Oreochromis niloticus: one gene and its partners. The protein of the gene in region 1 purifies or fractionates together with the protein of each later gene. This does not show direct contact. Links are inferred from orthologs where the notes say so. Each region holds a gene or a part of one and is shown in the gene's direction. Other genes may lie near its edges. The genes, in order: ras-related protein Rab-11A, evi5b and wdr44.

Region 1 (7,945 bases):
CCCTGACCTGGACAGACGAAGCTTTTTTGGGACTGAAGGCCAATCACAAATGTTTTCAAAATGGATTGGTTTTGCCTGAGGTTGGGTCCTTGGATATGAACAAAGTCTCATCTGTAGCACCTTCTGTTAAATACTTGCATTTTATTGTTGACAAGAATCTCAGCACTGCTGCCATGGATTCAAATGGGCAAAAGGTTTGAAATCATTACGTTAGGTCTTGATCTTAGCCCTGTTTTAACTCACATCATCAGATCCTTTGAATCTTCATCCTCAAATCAAACCTGATCTCTTAAACCAAACTCAGGGCTGTAACACACAAAAACGTTTATAAATATTCTTATTTACTCACAATTTATTACAATGAGTTATTGTCAGCAGATTAGACAAGTGGTCTCCTTTGTCTCCGACCATTATTGTGAAGCACTTTGTGGTTTTTATCCTGTGTAGAGTGCTATTTAAATCAATAAAGTAAAGTAAAGACCAACTGACAATGAGGCTGCTGGTTATGGGCTAACCACATCACTAGTCACATCATGTCAGGATTAATTTTCTAGGTGTCGGAGTCAAACAATGTTAGATCAAAGTTTTATGAATGCCAGCTAACAGCAACAAAACGGCAGTGCTTACTGACAGAAAGATTCAGGATATCCTGAGCAACTCAATTCAGTATTGTGATCGGATAGAAGTGAGCTCTACTGATAGATCCACCCATCTTGGACAGATTTCTCAGTTTTACAGCCTTCTCCAGAGTAAATAGACATATTGACATAGTAAACTTGGCTATCTGAGTTTAAATAACAAATATGTGAAAACAGTATGCCACTTCCTAACCAATGAAGAGACAACATTTTTCAAAAGTGTATCCGCTCCAAGAAAGGAGCCAAGATGCTGAAACAAACTGATACGTACTCGGCCCTGGATCATTAAGGGCAACTGTGCTGCAGTACGAGATGAGACAACCATACCTAAGTACACCCAGTACTTTGAAGAGCTTAGAAATGCTCCTGTTGTTATTTTTCTACGTGTCCTTTGGCATCAGTGTCTTGACCCACTCACACCAGCAATAATAGGTTTAGGGAAAAGATTGTGGTTTTAGGTAAAGTAAACTGACAAACAGCAGGGTAAAAAGTGAAGCCAGTGCAAAATCAACAAAACTCCAAATCCTACAGTGGGTGATTTTAAAAAGAAGTTAGTTAGTCAGTAAAAAATAAATAATAAAGTGTGCTAACACAGGTAGCTATAGCTACTAGCTATCTGCAGGTCTCAATTCTTTAACTATCTTTAATTATTGTTTTTTATGTAAATGGTTTACAGGCACCATGATACTGAAAAATGCAGCCGATTAACACTCTGTCTTACATTCACTTGTTGGAATCACTGAACTGATCTCTTGGTCATTTTTTGTGCTGTCTGGAATTAGATTTATGCCAGTTACTAATTATTTAATTTGTAAGATGACCATTCATCTCATATATTACTGATAATATCCATATTTTCCATATTTTATTTGTTGTTTGTCATAACTTTGATTTTTCTCTTTCTCATCAGTTCAAAAAGTTGTGGCAGATGTGAGTTTTCTCTAACCTGCTTCAAGTGCTTGCTCATAGGTTAATGTTGGGTCTTTCACTGTGTAATATAAATTGCTTTTTGACAGTCATCACTGTAATATTGTGCTATATGAAGAAAATAAAACTGAATTGAATGGGTTTTTTCCACTGTAGTTATAAAAGTTCACATCTTTCTACAGTGGATCACTGAAACCTGTTTTTTGTTGATTATTATTTGTGTAGTTTGATTAAACTGTCAAATTCAAGTCTGTATCAAGTTCTCCTGTGGTGTTTAGAGAGGAGCGCCTTTCAAATGGTGTAGAGCACTAAAAAACTGCTCTCTAAAGTCTTGGCAGGGAGTCTGAGGACAAGTCCAAAAAGGGAAAAATGCTATTTGGCATTTTAAAGACGTCGCCATATCTGTTTTTGTCATGGTCATGCAGCATGCTTAGCGACCAACAAGCCACAGAGCTGAATAAGTAGCTCACATATTTACATGCTAATAGATGCATGGGGAGACTGTCTGTTCAGCATCTTCTTACCAAATGACACAATTACAGGCTTTGACTGGAAGATCCGACATGATAACCAAGAAGCAGTGTCATGGGCTGCTATATCTGATCACGGCAACCTGAACTCAACTGAGATGATATGGGATAAGTTGGAGAACATGTCATACGTGTTTTCTTGTTCTCTTTGCTTTCTTGTTAGTCAGATGTGAGGTTTCTCTAACCCACTGTTGAGTTGGAATACATGGCAAAGTATCTAACAACACCCTCACAAGTGGATCTCCTTCAAACTGCATGTTGATACATCCTGGGCACTATTCCAGGAACATCTGAGTTTGTTAACCCTGAGTTGAAAGAAACTCCTCGTTTTCTGTTTCAGAAAGAAAATTAACATAATCTCAGACTCTCAAGGTCCCTGAAGAGAAAAGGGTAATTAAATCCACTCAGAAATGAGCAGGAATATACAGGAATGACAACAGACGCTGGGCAACAACAACAACAACAAAAAGGCAGAGCTTAAATGTTTAGAACAGAATAGGGCTCTATTCTCATTGTACATGTACAACAAAATTGTGAGTGCTCCACACCAACTGTGCTAAAATAAAATATAAATAGGTGTCAGCAGGAATAAATAGCAAACAAGATAGATATATACAAAAATCAGAGGACAAAATAGTTGCAAAGTGCTTAAAGCAGTGCAAAGAGTTGAATGGAGTCCGTGTGTGAGTGTCCTGAGTGACGGATGTCATTCAGACCATGGCTCAGATCAGTGAGGTGGGTGGGCAGGGGTTGGGTGTGGGGGGGATAGTGTTTGTTGACTGTCCGAATAGCCCAGGAGAAGAAGCTGTTTGTGCTTCTGGAGGTGTGGGACCTGATTGACCAACCAGAGGGCAGCAGGTCAAATATGTGGTGGGTGGGGTGCAAGGAGTCACCTGTGATTGCTTCCAGGAACGCAGGGGCAGCCAATGATTTGTTGGGGCATTGTTAGCTACCCTATGCGCAGCATTGCTGTTCTCAGTAGCGTGTACCAAACACCAAGGCAGCAGGAGAACACAATCTTCACTGAGGAGCAGTAGAAGGCAGAAAGCAGCTTCTAGGTTATTCTTTCTCAAGACACGGAGGAAGTACAGCCAGTGCTGGGCCTTCTTTACGTTGGTGTTGTGGGTCCAGGGGGGTGGACGGAGATGTTGGTTGGGTGGCTTGGGGTACAGTCATAGATGTATAGGGCACACAGTAGGCGCTGAGAGCGTAGTCCTGTGAGGAACTCTTTGATCGAGGAGCAGGTGGCAGGGGGGATGTGGAGGTGGTCCAATTTGGATTCAGGATGTCTGAGATTATAGTGCTGAATTCTGAGCTGTAGTCCATGAAGAGCATCCTTATGTAGCTCTTCCTGTTCTCAAGATGGGTCAGCGCTCTACAGATGGGTCAAGGGATGAGGGTAGACAGTCCCTGATGTGGTGAGACACTATCTGCTCGACACTATCCGCTCGAAGCACTTCATGACTACAGACGGTAGGGCTATCGGTCTGTAGTCATTGAGCCTGTGTATACCAGACATTTTGGGGATGAGAACGGTAGTGGAGGCCTTCAGACAGGTGGGAACAGTGGCATGAGTCAGGGAGAGGTTGAAGAGCCTGGTGAGGATCCCCCCAGTTGGTCAGCACATTTGTAGTTGGTGAGGGCTTGGATGCCTCTCCACACCTGGTGGAGGTTGTTATCAGTTAGGAAGCCCTCTATCCTCCTCCTGTAAACCTCCTTGGCCTGTTTGATGCCCTTCCTCATGTTGACTGTAGCAGTGCTGTACAGGTAACTGTCCCCTCAGCCTGAATTACAAGTTCTACACAATGGACTCAAGTGAAATGGACGCAGGAGGGTGACAAGATACACCTAAAACATAGTTAAAAATGAGACAAGGAAGCAAAACTAAATGCAAAACAGAGGAGACATCTAGCTCTACAAACTAAAATGGGCAGTAACAAATGTGGAACAGAAATAAAGACACTGGGAAAGCTAGACTAACCAAAACAGAAAGGATTACTTAATCGATATAAATACTCCATGTAAATATGATTTAAAAATATTAATTAAAAACACTCAATACAAATGCAGTTAAATCAGCACAACATTTATTTTCAAATACAAAAAAAATACCAAAAAATATGTCAGCTGGACACTTTTCTGCTGAATAATAAACAAGCATATTTCCATTACTTTAGCTTGTTATTTAAACATTTTTTAAATATGATAAAATTTAAATTTTATATATTTTTTTAATTTCAAACTTTAATCTTCATCTTCACTGACCACAGTAAGCACACCATTTTTGATGGAGGGTTCATGTCTCCTGGCATTAAACAGAAGGTTGGGGGAGGGGCATTTATAAATTGGTGTTGATAGATTTTAAATATGTAAAATGTTAAATGCAATCACCCATGACCATGCCGGATAGCTAGTTAGCGAGCACATTTACTATTAGCTAAAGTGGTTTTTGCTGCTGCCCCTGAAGCGCAGAATTCATGAATTTGGGACTTCTGAGGGTGCAGTTGAGCACTTGTATTCACTGATTTGAGAGGTTGTAACCACAGAGGTGTAGTTGTAAGCAGTTAAAAAAGTAAATAAATAAATAAATGAGTAAAAGTTGAATTACAAACATTAATTTACACATTTATTTATATTTTCTCTGTAACCATACATTTAAAACGCAAGTGAAAATACAAGTTCAAATTCTTTCTACACATTATCTCTTTTTATTTGACAAGCTCTCGCATTTTGCATCGTATTTACTTCCATAAATCGGCCCTAACGGAAAAGTTGATAGTTGGGAAGTATATTTTTTGACCACTAGATGTCTGATGTCAGAATTATGCCGGTTTTCTGCGGCAGCGAAGGAGAAGAAGAAAATACGGAAGTACGGCTCCCAAACACATTCCCGTTGGAAGAGTAAAATACTGCAGATTGCCGTATTTGCTTTGAAACGAAGCATATCTTGGACTAAATATTCAGTCTCAATAAGACGATGGGCACTAGAGACGATGAATACGATTATTTATTCAAAGGTAAAGATGTGAATTTCTCGTTAGTGTCGTAGCTTTAGCCGATAAGCTAAACAGGCCAGCTGGTCAGCTGTCAGGCTAACTAAGCCATCGTCAACCTTTGTGCTGTGGTTGATTTTCACCGAGCTTTCAGGAAATTGTAGGGAAGTTGATATAAGGGTGTATACCTCTAAACGGCCTTCACTTGAGGGTTGGCGTTAAAGTGCTATTTTCTTTACGTACGGTGTATTTAAGTGGGGCGTCTGAAAAGAAAAGAACACTAGCTATTAGCTTCTGTTAGCTTGTTGATAGTGGGCGCGGACACGCCTAGCGTTAACCGTTATCACGTTATCTTAGGTCCAGCTTGACAAGCTACAGAAACTTGTGTGAGGATTGGAAAGAATGCGTTAAGAGCTGCTTCATGAACACGTGACCACAATTTTAAACAATGACCCAAATCATTCTTTTCGCCATTATATTATTTTTAAAGTATTTTTATTACTGTGAATGTATAAACTTTGCTTAAAAAGTCAGGAAGATTGTGTCTGCTTTACTATTTTTGTGTCATAACAATGCTTCTTGGTAATAAGTCTTGTACTGTTGGAATGCCTTTCTATTTCTCCTTAAATGGTATCGCATGTTTGGGTTGCACAAATGAAGAACTATGCCAATGTCAAACAACTATCTACTCTTGTTTTGAGCTTCTGGTACGCCGGGTATGGACAATCTGATGTCTGATTAGCAGGGCATGAACCTGATCAGTCAACATGTTTGACTAATCTGGATGAGATCCATGTCATAGGGCAACCTCAAGCTGGTGATGTGCAAGACTAAGTTTCAGCATTATTTTGAATGAGTCCTAGTGCCATCTCCAAATTGAAGGCCAGGTCCCATATGAGGGTGGATATCAGAGACAGGCTGTGAAGTGGGTGTCCCAACAAGACGACATCACAAACACACTGTCAGTGCAGTGCTCAGTCTTCTACAGATTTGCAATCAAAGTTTGGAGGACAATATTTCTTATGGTTTTGTACCCAGACAACCTGGAACAGACTGCACAAAGTGTGTCAGGAGGCCTGCTGTGACTGCCCTTCACTGTTAGGTTCATTTGTGTTAATAACGGGTGCAATTGAACCCTGAATGTGTACAGGAATGTTACGTTCAGCAACGAGTCCAGATTGTGCTTACTGCAGTTGGCTCATAGTGTCAAGTGTCAGAGTATGGAGAGGATGTGGAGAACCCTGTGCTGATTGATGCACCGATACGGTGAAAGCTTTTGGTGGAGGCAGTGTGACGGTGAAGAGCAGCATCTCTCAATGGAAAAAACAAAGCTTCTCATCACTGGAGGTAATCTCAGTGGAGCTAGATATCAAGATGAGTTTCTGTAACCAGTGGCAATCCATATCTCCACAGTCTGGGAACAATCTCTGTCCTCCAAGACGCTTAACCCACACAGAGTGGAGTTTATCAGAGATTAAATCCAGAATATAGGTGTGGAGAGCATGGAATGATCTGCCAGCAGTCCTGATGTCAACCCAGCTGAATGCTTGTAGCATCAGCATGAAGGGGGGTTGTCCTGCCAGAGTAACCAACACAACCACACTGGCTGCTTTGTAATAAATATTGGTTGAAGAATAGGATGCAGTCCCACAGCAGTGTGTGGCCAAGCATGAGGAGGAGATGAGGCTGTCGTGGCTGTGTTTGGTTCTTCCACATGCTACTGAAGTCCCTGTTAAATGAATAAATTGTGAAATTGCCGGTGTGTCTTGTTTCTTCACACTTCCCATCCAATCCAATAAATGACAAACGAGTCAGTAGCAGAATGTGTTTGGCATTGGAAGTTTTGGCAAGTTTTTATTGGTGTAACCCACATACTCACCTTTGCTACTTAACCCACAACTCTATTTTTCTTTCACCATCAGGCAGCGTTTAAGCGGAAATAAACAGGTTCTTTAATGGTTTAAGATTTATTGCCAGGCAACATTCTTCCAACAAAGAAATAATCAACCGAACACTAATTTCCTTACTTTCTGTGCTAAGTTATATATTTGTACCCACACTAGTTTCTGTGATAGGCAAACTGGACAGTTCTTTCTTTTTTTTGTTTTTAAGAGATTTAGTGGCTTTTTTGAACAACCAACAACCTATGAGACTTTCACATATGGCAAAATTCACTTTAAATATTTGGGATCCCAGCACTCTCCTCATTTTGGTCTCACACATTCCTTTTTTATAAAATTTGCCTTATTCTGTTGTGTGCTTTTGAGTCCCCAGTTGAAGCTGTCACAAAATTATTACCACGCTTTATGAGTTGTTTTTTCTGTATTCATTGCAGTATCAAAGTATGATACTTTGATATGATGACTACTGACAGATATACTACTAACATAGTTCAAGACAGACAGGCTTTCTCTGCCTTTGCTTGTTCAACAAAACCTCATTGAAGTTTTGAGGCGGGTGACCTCATGCCTTCCCCTCATTGAAGATGACGGGAATCACAGAGTTGATTATCAGCTTTCTGTTAGACCGGGCTTTCTGCTTCAGGATCTGTGCATGCTCACATAAAAATGGGTGTTTTGTAGGTTATATGATTCTTTTGGGTAGAAAAGGATCCCCGAGTTTGCTGCCTATGCTACTCAAAATATTATCAGATGATGATAAAATAGTGATTAAAAAGCTATGAAGAACATATAAAATACAACAGTAAAATGCATCATTTGTGCAAATAAGATGGATAATTCTAAAGAAAATAGCTAACTGTGTGATTTAACGCACAGAGTAGTAAAATAAACATATCAAGTTAACTTTAACACTGAGTGCACTCTCAGTGCTGTTGACTTCTAAGGTGACGGCTGCA
Region 2 (7,090 bases), on another chromosome or scaffold:
ACACACCTGTGTTAAACTATAAATGCATTTTCTCTTATATTATTTCTCCATCTTCAGCAGGACATAATTCGGTTCCTAAGGTTTAATTAACTACAATATAATTTAGTTTGGTGTTGTTGTTACACGCTAAAAAAGAAAACTAAAAATACATTTTTATTGTGTTGAGTCTACAGTAGCAGACTTAAATATAAAGCTCATATTTAGGTTGAAGGAGCTTTAGAACTTTAACTCTTTCCCCTGCGGACTACAGGTCTGCTTCCAGAACAAAACAAAAACGTTATCAGCTTATCAGTGATACCTTTGAAAACCCCAGAACTCATTCTATAATATATATACATATAGTATATTTACTACAAACCACTTAGCTCTTGTTTTACCTTCTGTACAAGTGTGAAGAATCCAATTTGGACAAGCGATTCATTTTTTAATATATGTAAAGAAACAGTTATGACTGGTTAGTCAGAATAATCCACAGACACAAACGTGACCCCTTTTTCAACCTGTTGCAAATAAAGTGAAAGTGGAGTGTCTCAGTAATGTTCCCAGACAGGAAACACACTGTTGAAACTTAGTGTCAGTTTTCAGTTCACAGATGCACCTAAAAACAGTAAGTGGTGTTTTATATTATAGCATATCTGTTAGTTCGTGATTTATTGATGTAGACAGGGAAACTCACACAGACAAAATAGTAAGATATAGAGTGGCACTAGGTTCTGTACCAGGACCAATACTTTTCACATTTTTCATGCTTCCAGACATGGCCAGCACTTGGTGTCTCAGGAGGGCAATGCTGTCCCACCCTGGACAGCTCCTGTTCAACCTCATGCCCTCTGGTAGGAGGTATAGGTGTTTAAAGTCACCTTTTTTTCCCTAAGCCATCAGAACATTGAACAATAAGGCCAGTGATTGGACATAGTGAGCCTCACTCACCACCCCCTACCTGTTAATATTCAGTACAATTTTCACACAAACACCAGCATAAACATGGCACAGTATACAATAACACCCACAACATGGCTGTTGCAAAAATAAAGGAATCTTTACCTTTATCTTTACAGCACTGTAACCTGACTGAGCCATTGATACAAGTCATGATGGATCCTTTTTTCATGATGTTTGCACCCAATTTATGTCGCAGCTGAAATCAATGCTGATCAGATCAATAGCACTGTGAGATGCTGCACTGATTGATTTGGTATCAATCAGATATCAAGTAAATAGAGGGTCAGTGTTGCCGATACCATACCTTTAACTAATAAAAGCATGATTTTTATTTTCCACATTAATTAGTTAACACAATAAAACACACTTTTCAGCTTTTCATGTATTTGGAAACTGGGTTTTTTGAAGACGTGGAATGTAAATGTGTCTGTCTTTAAAGTACTATATTTATTTATAGCATTATCAACTATAAATAAAATAGATGTGACAGTCAACACAAAAGGTTCAGACAGATTTCATAGTGCCATTGAGCTATATTTTTTGTTTCCAAAGAAAATAATTTATTTAACATAATTCACTGGGCTACATACTGAACTCAGAGGGTAGAAACAACATATCGATTTCATCACAGTAGTATCAACTGGACACCAGTACACGAGTCCACTTCTACAGACCAGACAACAATTTCCCAGTCATCTGTTCTCCAGTTTTGGTAAGCCCATGCTGACCGTAGCCTCAGTATCCTGTTCGTAGCTGACAGGAGTAGCACCTGGTGTGGTCTTCTGCTGCTGTAGCTCCTCTGCTGCAAGGTTTAGAGATGCTCTTCTGAATACTTTGGTTGTAACAAGTCGTCATTTCAGTTATTGTTGCCTTCCTGTCAGCTCAAAGCAGTCTGGCCATTCTCTTCTGACCTCTGGCATCAACAAAGCATTTTTTACCAGAGAACTGCCACTCACTGGATTTTTTTTTTTTCCAGACCATTATCTGTAAACCTTAGATAATCCCAGTAGATCGGCAGTTTCTGAAATACTCAGACCAGTCTATCTGGCACCCACAAATATGCCATGTTCAAAGTCACTTAAATAACTTTTCTTTCCTATTGTGATGCTCGCTTTTCATTAATGAGCAGTTGATGATGTGTTACTAATAAAGTTGTGGGTGAGCATATAAAATAGAAAATAAAGACCTCATTGCATCCCATTAGAGTAGATCTCTCTCTGAGTGCAGGCACATTTGTGGTTCCAAAGCAGAAACTGAGTCATAGACTGCATTGAGGACACTGGTCTTATGCTGCGGTGCTATATAAATGCAACTGAATTAATTGGAATTTTTTATTTTCTCTGCAATTACGGGAATCCACCGTTTAACATAAAAATACATTTTCCATGTCCTGATCTTTGACAGTGCACTTTGAGGTGTGGTACAAATCAAGATAGTACAGTAGTATGGATGTTAATCATGTCTGCATCAATAATTGAGCGATAACTGTAGACATCAGTTAGGAGTGTGTGACTGCAAACAACACAAGCAGAGTCACAGTTTGATGACGCTCCTTCTTCACAATAATTTGTCTCTTTGCTGGCTCAGCCAATATTAGCACAAAACATTATAAAGATCTATTTATAAAAAGCCAGGCAACTTTCTCATCTATTTTAAGGTCTCTGTGACTCAACTGTTTCGTCATAATCTACCTCAATAATGTGCGTTACAATTTGGGTGTGCAGCCAGAAGTATGTAAATATTTATGGTTGACGGGCTGAGATGTGATTGTTGACAGTGTCTCAGAGTTAGAAGCCTACATTCACTGTGGTGTTGCCAAGTGTCAACTACAGTTCGAGTTGCTTTTCAGACACTGTCATGGAGGAAGGAGTGTCCGGCTTGTCAACAAAAGAAATGCGTCACTGCTCTCATGTGAAACCTGAAAAGTAGGTTTCATGAGTGCGTGGTATGTGATTCTAGGTAGTCAGTCGAGTCATATTTTTACCGGAGCAAGTGATTGCTGCATTATGAGCTACATATAGCTACTGAAGGCACTTTGATTGAGGTGTCATATTATAGATATTTTTCAAATTAATATTTCCTGATACGTTAAAGTAGTTTTTGAAGGTTTACACCAGAGTTTTTTCTGGACTTGTTTATGGTGTTTTTCTGCTTTTTCAATGAAGATAAGATTCCTTAACTGAAATTTATAAAGACCAAAGTGTTTGTACCTCCAGGTTTCATCTAACACAGGTATTTTTCTCTCAGCAATGAATTTCAGGTAAGAAGATTAGGTAAGCATTAAAACATTTGTGTGGAGCTCTTTTCTTTGACTTGAAGATTTTACATTGTATGGACACACTGGTTGCAAATTAGAGCTGTTGAAAAACAGTCATGACATGAGGTGATATCTGTCGTATCGTTGGCAAAAAGACAAATAAGCCTAATTTGAATGGTGTGAATGGTTCGCTTTTTTATATCCTGTTCCCTGAATGCTTTGTGTATTCTGTAGCGTGTTATGACACTTTGGAGCTAAATTTAAATAATGAAAAAAGGCATAATTATTTGAAAAGTACTTGGACAAACCTAATACAGGCTTATAATTTTGATTCCTTTCAAAGATATTTCATATGTATCTGCTTCTGTCTTTGATAACAGGATTCTTTACGTATTTTGTTTCTTAAAATGTCTTATCCATATATATTTTTTAAACAGGTTACAACTTCTCACTCACTCTCTCTCACTCTTAGTTTATTAAAATTGTTAATGAAACTTAATTAATTCACTAACCAGCTTTTGAACAAGATATTTAACATAATGTGAAAAACCTGTCCTGGCAAGCAGGTTTAAGGTGTCACTTTAGTTGTGTTTGTACAGTTTGTGTTGCCGCGGAGAGTAATCATAAAGAGCAAAAGTAATGACGTCCTCAGGTACAGTCAGAAGCACAGCTAAATCATCTGTCATCATCAATCTAGCTGATGATCTTAAAGCTATTCACAAGGAAGAGCATAGGGAAGAAAACTTAACTTAATTCCAATCTTTTCTATAACAAGTACATTGATTTTCCCTTAACAACGAATGAAAGAAATGACGTATTGGAGGTGCAGTTGCGCAATTTGAACGCTTGGTGTCAGTATTGTCCCAAATCGGGCATGCTCTGTGGGATGTAAACACTCCGGTAGGCCGCCGTCTGTCTCAGCTCCGCAGACATTTGTGTACACGTATTACGGCTGCATGGGCTGGACCCAAGAGTCAATGGGAACGAGCTAACTTAACGCTGGCTAGCTTTCAAGTGGAAACCGATCTAGGCTATCTTGGGTAACATATGTACTTGGGTGAACCGTGTGAAAACCTGTCGTTTTCTCATAGTATCAGGACTAGCACACTTTCGTGCATGGGAAGCAGGCGACGTCTGCTGCGGGTGGCTAAAAACGGTTCAAGGTAAATGATGTTCTTGCTATTTTCGGGCTATGTCTAAATACTGGAACGATCAGTAAGTCGTAAAATCTTAGTTCTCACCCGTGACTGTTAACGTGAACAGTGTGACATTACTTTAAAGTAAAGCAGATTATCTTTACTTAACTCAAAAACTGCGGTTTAGTATTAGCGTGTATCACGGCTTGTTGGCGCTGTTGCTTGTGTTAAATGTTTGCTGTTGATCTCCAAACTACTTTATAAAGGACTCGGGCTATCGCCTGGAACAAAAAAACAAAACCTAGAAAACACTTCATCCTTTAATAAGCAGTGTATTTATTCTTGCAGAGTAGTGTCTGTTAAAGTCGCATTTATTCAACATGTAACCTCCTGTAGTGTTGTCCGACGCGTCGACTTTAGAGCCTTCTGGAAGACAGAGTGTGCATACTGTTGCATTTGATGCTAGATCTCCATTTCGTCATTTCACAACATCAGCAAGCCATAAAAGGAATCGGGAGTTCGGCGTCTAATGCATCTGTACTCAGCTTCCCCCGTCCCCTAACGTGTTTTTGATAGGTGAACAATATTATGTGTGTGTCAGTAGACTAAGCAAAGGATTTAAACTGCTCAGCAGTAGTGTTGGCTGTGTTGCAGCCAAGCATATGCGTCAGTCCAGCTGCAAAGAAGTGACTTGCAAGTTGCAACAGCTCTCAGAGTAGAGATCAAGCGGACTTTTAACCCACCAGAAGTTATTATAACAGGAAGAAACTTCACCAGACCGAATTAAAGTGTATTTCATTCGTACTTTAAATTCCTAAAGGAATTTAAACTGATCTAAATGTATAATATTGCCAGACTAATGACCTAAAACAGTGCATTATATTGAGGGATGCACAGACTGTGTAACATGGGGCTTATACAGATTTTTTTTTTTTTTTTTAGTTTAATATAGAATCTGCCAATTCACAAAAGTCATCTCAGGGCTCTACATTTGGTGACGGGAAGACCATGCAATATTAGAGTGAGAACCGCTACGATCAGAGATGTCCTATGAGCAGCACTTGAAAATGGCGGGGAGGAAGAACTCTCTGTCAACAGGAAGAATTTACCAGCAGATCCAGGCTTAGTGAGGAAGGGCTATCTACCTTAACTGTTCAGAGAAGGAGAAGAGAGATGACAAACAAACTATGTGAGAGAGAAGAGAAAAGTTGCTAATATCACTATGATCATTTGGCCAGGTGGAAATTGATGTGACACAAAGGATAAATATCAGCTATCAATGTCATTTTATTTGCCAATATGCCAGTATCAGTGTTATTTATCATCGTGATAATTATCGTTTCCTCTACCTGTACTTAGCTCATCATTTCACTGAAATAATCAGTTTCAATACACATTTACCTCAGATTAGCATTTATTTTTTTGTTGTAGCTTGAGCCACAGTGCATCGATGAACAACTTTGGTTCATGTGGTGTCAATTGCCAAATTCCCAACAAACACATAACAACTTCTCACACTTTTTGTATGTCAGTGAGTCAAATCCGTGAACCCAGGGGACATGAAGCTTCAAGAACTTTCCTGTGACCCCCGTATTTAAGAGTCTTTGGAGAACATGGATCAAGGAGTTACAATAAATCGTGTGTGACTAAGCGAAGCAGAGGATGATCGTGTTATGTACTCGCCACCTACACTCTATGTATGTGTCTTTGGCTGAACAAGAAAAAAGTACATTTGAATCTATTTTTGGTCATTTTACACAGAATAACAGTGGTTTTCTCCCTCAGAGAACTTATTGCCAACAACTAGTACTGAAAACAAGAAGTAACATTTAACTTGTCATGAGACGAAAAGCCAAGCTGTAATTATTACTGTAAACAATGTGTCAGGTCTGTTTATATTAGCATGTGGCCTGTGAGAAATATTATAACTGCAGTACCTAACTGAATGCATCCAGTTTAGCCTGTGATTTCAACCCTGTGGTGCATCAAAGCAAAGATAATACCTACAAATACAATCACCAGTAATGCATTACATTATTTGTGTAGCATAGAAAGAAAATCCTAAAAGCCACAAATCAGTAATGCTGTCACTTCAGTGTAGTTTCAGTGTTTTGATCCCCCCAGCCACCATTTTCCCCCTTGTGAGTTTTTTTCTTCTTCCCCACAATTTCACTAACGTGTTTATGTTACCCTCATTTATTTAATAAGTATGATCAGGCGGATTCAACTTATATTTATATTATATTTAGTGTATATTTATATAAAAAAGCAAGACAAAAAGGCCTTATAGTTAATGTTTTAGATTGGCTGTAGCTGTTTCTCCCAGTGAATAAACCATCCATGGCTGAAATTTAAGTACTGGTATTATATAAAATAAGCTGCTGCCAGCACATATGATTTCCCACACTACTGTAATGCTAGATTTTTGTGGGCCAAATGTAGCTCTCATTATGTGGGTGCACGCTGAAGAATAGCCTTCAGCAAGACCATTGAAATTCCGATGCTACACTGGGAAAATCTGCACTTGTGTGTGTGAAGTCAAAGGCCTTCCCACCTCAGAGTGTGTGTCTGTGTGTGTTATTATAAGTCAGGCCTGCGTTTTAACACCCTCACAAAGCACATGGACATTTTTTTTCCTCTGAGACTAGAGTCTCTGATGCTCAGCCAGACAAATTTGATGTAATTCCCCTCCTAGAAATGGGAACACGAAAGCCGAGTGACTGTAAATATCTTCTTGACTGAAACTTCAAGCTTT
Region 3 (6,972 bases), on another chromosome or scaffold:
TGTATGGGAGAGAAACTAAGACTGACTTTGTTCCTAGCAAAGGCTTCATGGTCCTATCTTTAAACACGTCTGTCTCCATTAGCCGGACTGCGACAGCTGTTCAGACTCAACAGACAAGGCAACCAAATGGGAGCTTTGCTCATTTTCTGGCCATGTTTGACTCCATACTGTCGGTACACCTCCGGTGGGAACAGGCTAATGCTACCTAGCTAGGCTAACCCTAACGTTAACATTTGCTAGCTTAAAATAACATCAAATCACGACAGTCGACTTTGTGGTTGTCGCGTAAGTTTCTCTTAAGCACTCTTCCCATAGCGACATTAGCTTAACCAGTGACGGCGCAAAGGACTGTGGTCCTAATATAAGTTAGTTGGTTTAGTTATTAGTTGGTCTGGTTGGTTGGTTGATCTGCCACCACCAACAGATGCCTATGGCTAACTGACAACCCGGTATGTGTTGAGCTTAATATACTATATATAGCATTTTCATTAATGTAGGCAGTTTAACTATACTCTGCAAAGTTTTAAAAAGCAAATTCCATACCTTCCACAACGATATAGCGTTACCTAGCGTCCTTGTTTTCCTTCCAAGCCCTCAAATCCACTTATACCCCTGAAGCCTCCTTCCTAGTTTTATCCAATGCAGTTGTAGCTTACTAGGAAAGCCGGAGTATCCACACTTTCCATTGGCGGAAGAGTATGGCAATCTTCTCTCATTGGCTTAAAACTTCCGTTACTAAATAATGGTTTTAAGACAGCTTTTTTTATTTGAAGCACCTGGACACTGAAATGCCTGGATAATACTTTGTGAGGTGAACCATAGGCTTCCATTTAAAAACATTCGTGAGCAATATTCATAATCAAAAGTATCACATGTTGGAAATTAGTGAGACGGACGCACAGAAAGTATGGTAATTAGGTTGGTTATTTATTTATTTGTTTGTTTATTTATTTTATGTTTTGTTTTTTTGTTTTTTACAAAAGCAGAAGTCTGAATTTAGAGTTTGAATATTGTGGTAACTCAAGTGGAAATTTCCAGATGAGCTAATGTGAGAGGCTAATGTTGTTGAAATATGGAAGTGATTTGTTTTTTCACAGGTACAGCAGAGATACGTGTTCCTGCTGCCCAATTGCATTCCAGCTTAAACAGCAAAAATTTAAAGGACTCTGACAAATAAGACAACACATACCTTATTTATCCCAAAAGTCAGGAATTCTTTTTTTTTACACCATGTAAAATTAATTAAAAAACAAACAAATAAATATGTTAAATAAAATTAAATAAAATATAACAGCAATACATTTTTAAAAAAGTAAAAGATGGATCAATTCTGCAATGAAAATGACCAAATAGACAAACAATAGCCACATTTGCTCACAGTATGTAAATAATTTTAAAAGACAAAATGTCTTTTTGAATGACAGGCTACCTGTAAAATATGTTTGTTATTTTTTTTATAAAAAGTACAAAAAACTCTTTAATCTCTTTGATGAGTCTTGTGACTTTGTCTTGTGACTCAGAGATCCTCTTCTGCATGCTTTGGTTGTAATGGGTGGTTATTTGAGTGAACAGCTACAGTCTACAATGACAAAATGCGCAAAAATAATGTATGCATTCACTAAAATGCACTCAGATTCTCCAATAATCACCTTTCTGCGACCTCCACCTTTTCATGCTCTTGAATAATCCATTAGATTGTAGTCTTATTATCAATCAGCTGATGCATTGATCTGGAACAAAGAGTGCTTTGATTGCAAATGAAAAAAGTTCAGTCTGTGGTGACTGTTTTGAACTGCATTCACTGTGCCTGTCGCAGCATGTGAGAAAGAATGAGCGGTGCATAGAGCGGCTAACATATGAGCGTGTAACTTAAATGAGTTTTTCAATGGATTTACTGAGCACTACAATTTAATTACACTTTCTAGTATACTTAACAATACCACTGCACTAATTACTGATCAGTAACCGTGTATAGAGTGGGGGAAATGATTGTTTGAGAAATGCTGAGTATGATCAAAAGAGCACCATTCCTACGTTCAAGCACAGAGGTGAAAACATTATGCTTTTGGTTATTTTTCTGCTAAAGGTACAGGACGACTTCACCACATTGAGGGACCAATGAGTTGGGCCATGTACAATAAAATCTTGGACAATAACCTTGTTTGCTCAGCCAGAAGACTAAAGATGGGTCATGGATGACTTTTCCAGCATGACAGTAGCCAAAACCAAGGCAACAAAGAAGCACTTTAAGATTATGGAGTAGCTTAGCCACTCTCCAAACTCTCTCAGTCCTGTAGAAAATCAGTGGAGGGAGCTGAACCTTTGAGTTTCCAAGTTGCAGCCAAGAAACCTAAAAAAGTTTCTGTAAAGAGGAGCGGGCCGAAATCCCTCGTCAGATGTGCACAAACCTGGTGACCAACTACAAAAAAACTTCTTACTGCCATGCTTGCTAACAAAGGTTTCTCCAACAAGTACAAAATCATGTTTTGATTGGGGCTCAAATACTTACTTCACTGAATGATATGCAAATCATCTTATAATTTTTATGTAATGTTTTCTTTTTGGGTTCTTGGTTAAAATCCTTTCTCTCTCAGTTAAAATAAAACTACCATCAAATTTGGAGACTGTTAATTTCTTTGTAAGTGAATTCATCAAAAGATCAAAATAGTTATTTCCATCACTGTAGCCTGGTCACATTTATTTAGCCGGTTTTCTGGTGACCTTACATATAATTAATATTATTCTAACTAATAATTAATATATTATTATTATGTCTTTGTGTCTGCTTAAAACAATCAAATGTCAGCAAGTCTCTAAACTGCTCATTAGTGGACAACTCACATGCAGTTTGCATACAAACCAAATCTGCCAGTAGATGATGCAACCATATACATGCTGCAGAGAGCTAACTCCCATCTAAAAAAATGGCTGCATGCAGAGGATCACTTCCTTTGATTTCTCAAATTAAAATGATCCAGCTCTTCTCTCTGCTGAGAGAAAAGCGATAAGAAATGTCAGTAAACATGTATACCATCTCATGGGTTACTGACAGAGATTAGTCAGTGCTATGTCTGATTTGGTGATGTGCAGCACAGAAGCTCCACAGACTTTCAATGCATGCGACCTACAGAAATACTCTGACAGTTCTGCAGTGGCAGTGAATTTATTAGTGATAGGCAGGAGGAGTACAGAGCACCAGTGGATGATTGTGTGGCGTGTTCTGTGAGGAAAAAGCAAAATGATGAGATTTTCTGTCAATTAGGCGTTGCAAGCCCAGTGTACTTGCCTGTGGTCTGCTTTGGGAGCAGCATCAGTGCTGGTGACATGAACAGAATCATTGAAAAGGCTAACTCTGCGATTGCCAGCAAACTGGTCACTTTTGAAGCTGTGGTGAAGCTGTGGTGTCAGTGAGCAAACTTTAAACTCCATCATGGATAATCCTGTCCCCCTCTGCATCACTGACAGGCAGCGGATCACCTTTTCCAACAGACTGTTTCAGCTCCACTGCCACAAGGACAGATATAGGAAATCTCTCAGACCAAATGCTACCAACCTCTATAATTCAAAAATGTCTGTCAGAGAGTCATCTCCCAGATACACTAATAATAATAATAATTTCTTAAATATGGGTTAAACAAACTGTTGCTCATCTGATTACGTGTCTAATCATGATCATATCATCCTGAGAGGATTATTTAGGAACCAAAAACTAGACCTTGCTGCTAGACCAACTAATACACTCTACTCCACCTGATCAGTGGCTGTTATTCTCTTGCTTGTTCAGTGAGTATTGTAATGTATACAGTAATTTTATAAAACTCACAATAGTGAAGTAAAATGAGTGAGAGTTAAAAGATTTAAAAAAAGGATTTAACAACCAAGTTGTTCCATCCAGATTCCAGTCCAGAAGGTGGCAGTAGTAGCCGTAAAAGCTGTTCTCCAACCGCCATTGAAGAAGAAGAAGAAACAAGAGGGCGCCTGTGCCCCTCCCTTGCTTCGTTAGGATGTATTTTTTGTGTAGCTGGTTTGTTTATGACGCGGTTCTCTGGTTCTGTTAGCTTGACAGCTTATCAAGCGTATAATGTTGTGAAAAAGCAAAACAAAAAACTCGGTTGTGGCGTTTTTCTCGTTCGATACGGTGCTTTGTGCAAGATAGATCTAAAAGAGGATCAGGACTAGCTAGCATTAAGTGCTGCTTAGTCGTAAGACAGGATTACATTTGTTAGCTTTAGCGTAATGTTGGACCGGAAAGTTGTTATTTGACGACTCCCGGGCTCGGGCATTGAAATATCAGTGTTAACATAGAGGACGTTACAAGCGCATATGTAATACCTTTCAGTCATTGGCAGGTTAGGCTTATACACAGCTGCCTGGAAACTAGGCTAGCTAGCGAACTACATTGTCGTTAGCATGGCGTCAGATACAAGTGACACGGAGGAATTCTATGATGCTCCAGAGGACCCCAATTTTACTCCGTCTCCACAAGTGTAAGAAAAAACCTTTTGCCAATATTACTTTTGAAAACGGTGGTAAATGAACACGCGTTCCTGCCTGTTTTTGTCTTGTCTCATATGTATCTAGCTAGCGTAGTATTGACAGCTAACGTTAGATTTGCAAAATGGCCATTTTTTCATGAAAAGCATGAACTCAAGCTGCTTCAAAGCCAAGTCATGTGCCGTGTGCAAAACACGACCCAGTCTGTTTTGTATTTAGATGCCGAATATTAATTATATTCTGTCATACAGTGCTTGTGTTCACCAGCTAATCAATGCAGGTACAGGAGAGTCTAAACCTCAAAACGCTCACAAGTCACATGATGACAGTAGGATTTGGACTGAACGAACAGGTTTCTTATGAAAGCTGAAACCACAATGCAAATTTACAGTTTTAATTCAAAACACAGCTTGTTGGAATAACAAAAAAACCCGACTGAAGGTAGCAGTAGCTTACAAAGCAGTATTTTTGTATGATCCGCTGTATGACAGCTCGATTAGAGATTAAAAATGTAATGTACATTTTAAAGATGTATTTTGTGGGCGCTTAAAAGGAAGAGGTTACTGAACCACCCTGTAAATGTTTAAAGTATCTGGTCTGTTGCTTCTAATATTGTTTCTGATCAAAAGTTCTATATGAGGTAAAAGTTATCTAACTCAGATACATCGTCTCAACTGCTTAGGTGACAGATAAAATGATAAAAAGTTAGACTTTTGTGTTGTATTTGGTTTTTCCCCCCCCTGGTTTATAAGTTTAGCCTATATCAGTTTTAAACCATGTGTTTTGTGTTTCGTAGGTCTCCCGCAAAGTTCGTCATTCCTTCACCTCAGGTATGTTTATCTAAATCTAGGCACTGTTGAAACAAGGTGTCACGGGTTGTGCTGAGTTGCTCTTTGAATGATTACTACTTACTCTATAGTTCAAAGTAATATGGCAAAAAATAGTGACTTTTGATTTTTTCAGATTCATATATACATAAAACACTATTAGTTTGTAGCTTGTCTATAGTTTTCCTGTCTCTGAATGACCTTTGGGAAGGAGTGACTACAGTAAAAAACATATCTATGCATTTCCAGTTATGTTTAATAAACATATGTGTGTGTAATACAAATGAAACCCCAAATACTATACATACATTCTGAAAATCATATCTTTCTTCATTAATCTTGCTTTATCCATGTTTATCTCTATGAAAGGTGCAGATTTTTTCCTATATCTTTGATGATTGTGTGTAAACGGCTATGAGCAATACCGTTCCTAAACACCTTCGTGTACTAACAGTACAAGGTCCCCTCCAAGCTCATGGCAATGTAATGTGTTTTTTGACGACTACCTTTATGTTACCTCTCAGTAACATTTGCATTACTTTGCATGTTTTGCTTTTTTTTTCGTGTTTTTTTTTCATGACCTCGCAAAAAAATTTGCATTTCATCTGACCCATTGTAAAAGGCTTTACTGTTTTATGATGTGGTGTCATGTGGTATACTAGACTGCTGCTGGTTGTGACAGCAGTGAGAGTCAGGACACCCTCAGCTGTATATGTACTTATAACTGCAGAGTTGGGTTAGAGATCGTTGCTGTCAAGACTTGTTTTTTACAGTTATGGTTGTGACAAGTTTTAGTGGTGCAACATTGATTATTCACAGCGGTTTTGTGTGTGTGTGTGTACTGATGGTGTTGTTCCTGCTCCTGTTCCATCATTATAATAATGTTTGTCCAGGATGAACATTGCAACTGAGCAGTCACATTGTTGTCATGTCATAGCTTTGGAATGCGGAGGAAAAAGAAAAAATGCCTTTCTTTATATAAAAATCCTGAAATTGTAGGCATTTCAAATATTTTCCTTATTATTTTATGAATTATGACAAATATGTTATCAAGTTACGTTTGCCAAATTTAGGTTAGTTGGTTTTCTTGTGATAGTTTTTAATGGCGTTTTTAAAGATGGCGTTTTTCTTGCCTCATGCTAACTGAATGCTCAGACAATGTGATTAGTCATTTGCAAGTTTGATTCTGAACCAACATTGTTATGATGTTAGTTACATGTTAGCTGATGCTGATAGCTGTCCAGGATAAGAGTTTGATGCTACTGTATGTTGGTAGTATGACACATTTGTCACTGAAGACCTGATCTGGACCAACAAACAACCAAACTTTTCAAATGGATCATCAGGAATGCAAAGCAGGTTGTCAGAGAAAACAAGTTACTGCAATGAAATGCACAAATAATTGCAAGGAAAAACAAAAATAATATAAATGTTATTGCAAGGTGATGCAAACGTTAAAGACGACAATCACCTGACCTCACTCCATGCAGGAAATGGGACATAAATAGGAGAGCGGTATACAAATTTTGAGTGGTAACAAGATGTGGACATTACTTTCAATCTAGAAAAGCCATTTGTTATATCATAAGCTGGCAGTTACACAAGCAATTAATATAAAGGTAAACAAAGAATTATTACATAACATAACCTC

The links.
Region 2: the proteins of ras-related protein Rab-11A (region 1) and evi5b purify together in Homo sapiens (co-immunoprecipitation; 3 studies listed by BioGRID and IntAct, with this or other methods). This does not show direct contact. The link is inferred for Oreochromis niloticus from reciprocal best matches to the Homo sapiens genes RAB11A and EVI5.
Region 3: the proteins of ras-related protein Rab-11A (region 1) and wdr44 purify together in Homo sapiens (affinity purification with mass spectrometry; 3 studies listed by BioGRID and IntAct, counting the BioPlex papers as one, with this or other methods). This does not show direct contact. The link is inferred for Oreochromis niloticus from reciprocal best matches to the Homo sapiens genes RAB11A and WDR44.

What each region holds. Positions count from the first base shown.
Region 1 is NC_031965.2:5,551,710-5,559,654, forward strand, and holds the start of ras-related protein Rab-11A, read left to right. Parts: upstream 1-4,923; 5' UTR 4,924-5,072; coding exon 5,073-5,112; intron 5,113-7,945. UniProt on the Homo sapiens protein: The small GTPases Rab are key regulators of intracellular membrane trafficking, from the formation of transport vesicles to their fusion with membranes.
Region 2 is NC_031986.2:31,245,960-31,253,049, forward strand, and holds the start of evi5b (EVI5-like protein), read left to right. Parts: upstream 1-4,090; 5' UTR 4,091-4,362; intron 4,363-7,090. UniProt on the Homo sapiens protein: Functions as a regulator of cell cycle progression by stabilizing the FBXO5 protein and promoting cyclin-A accumulation during interphase. May play a role in cytokinesis.
Region 3 is NC_031975.2:12,131,578-12,138,549, forward strand, and holds the start of wdr44 (WD repeat-containing protein 44), read left to right. Parts: upstream 1-3,946; 5' UTR 3,947-4,410; coding exon 4,411-4,487; intron 4,488-5,290; coding exon 5,291-5,324; intron 5,325-6,972. UniProt on the Homo sapiens protein: Downstream effector for Rab11 which regulates Rab11 intracellular membrane trafficking functions such as endocytic recycling, intracellular ciliogenesis and protein export.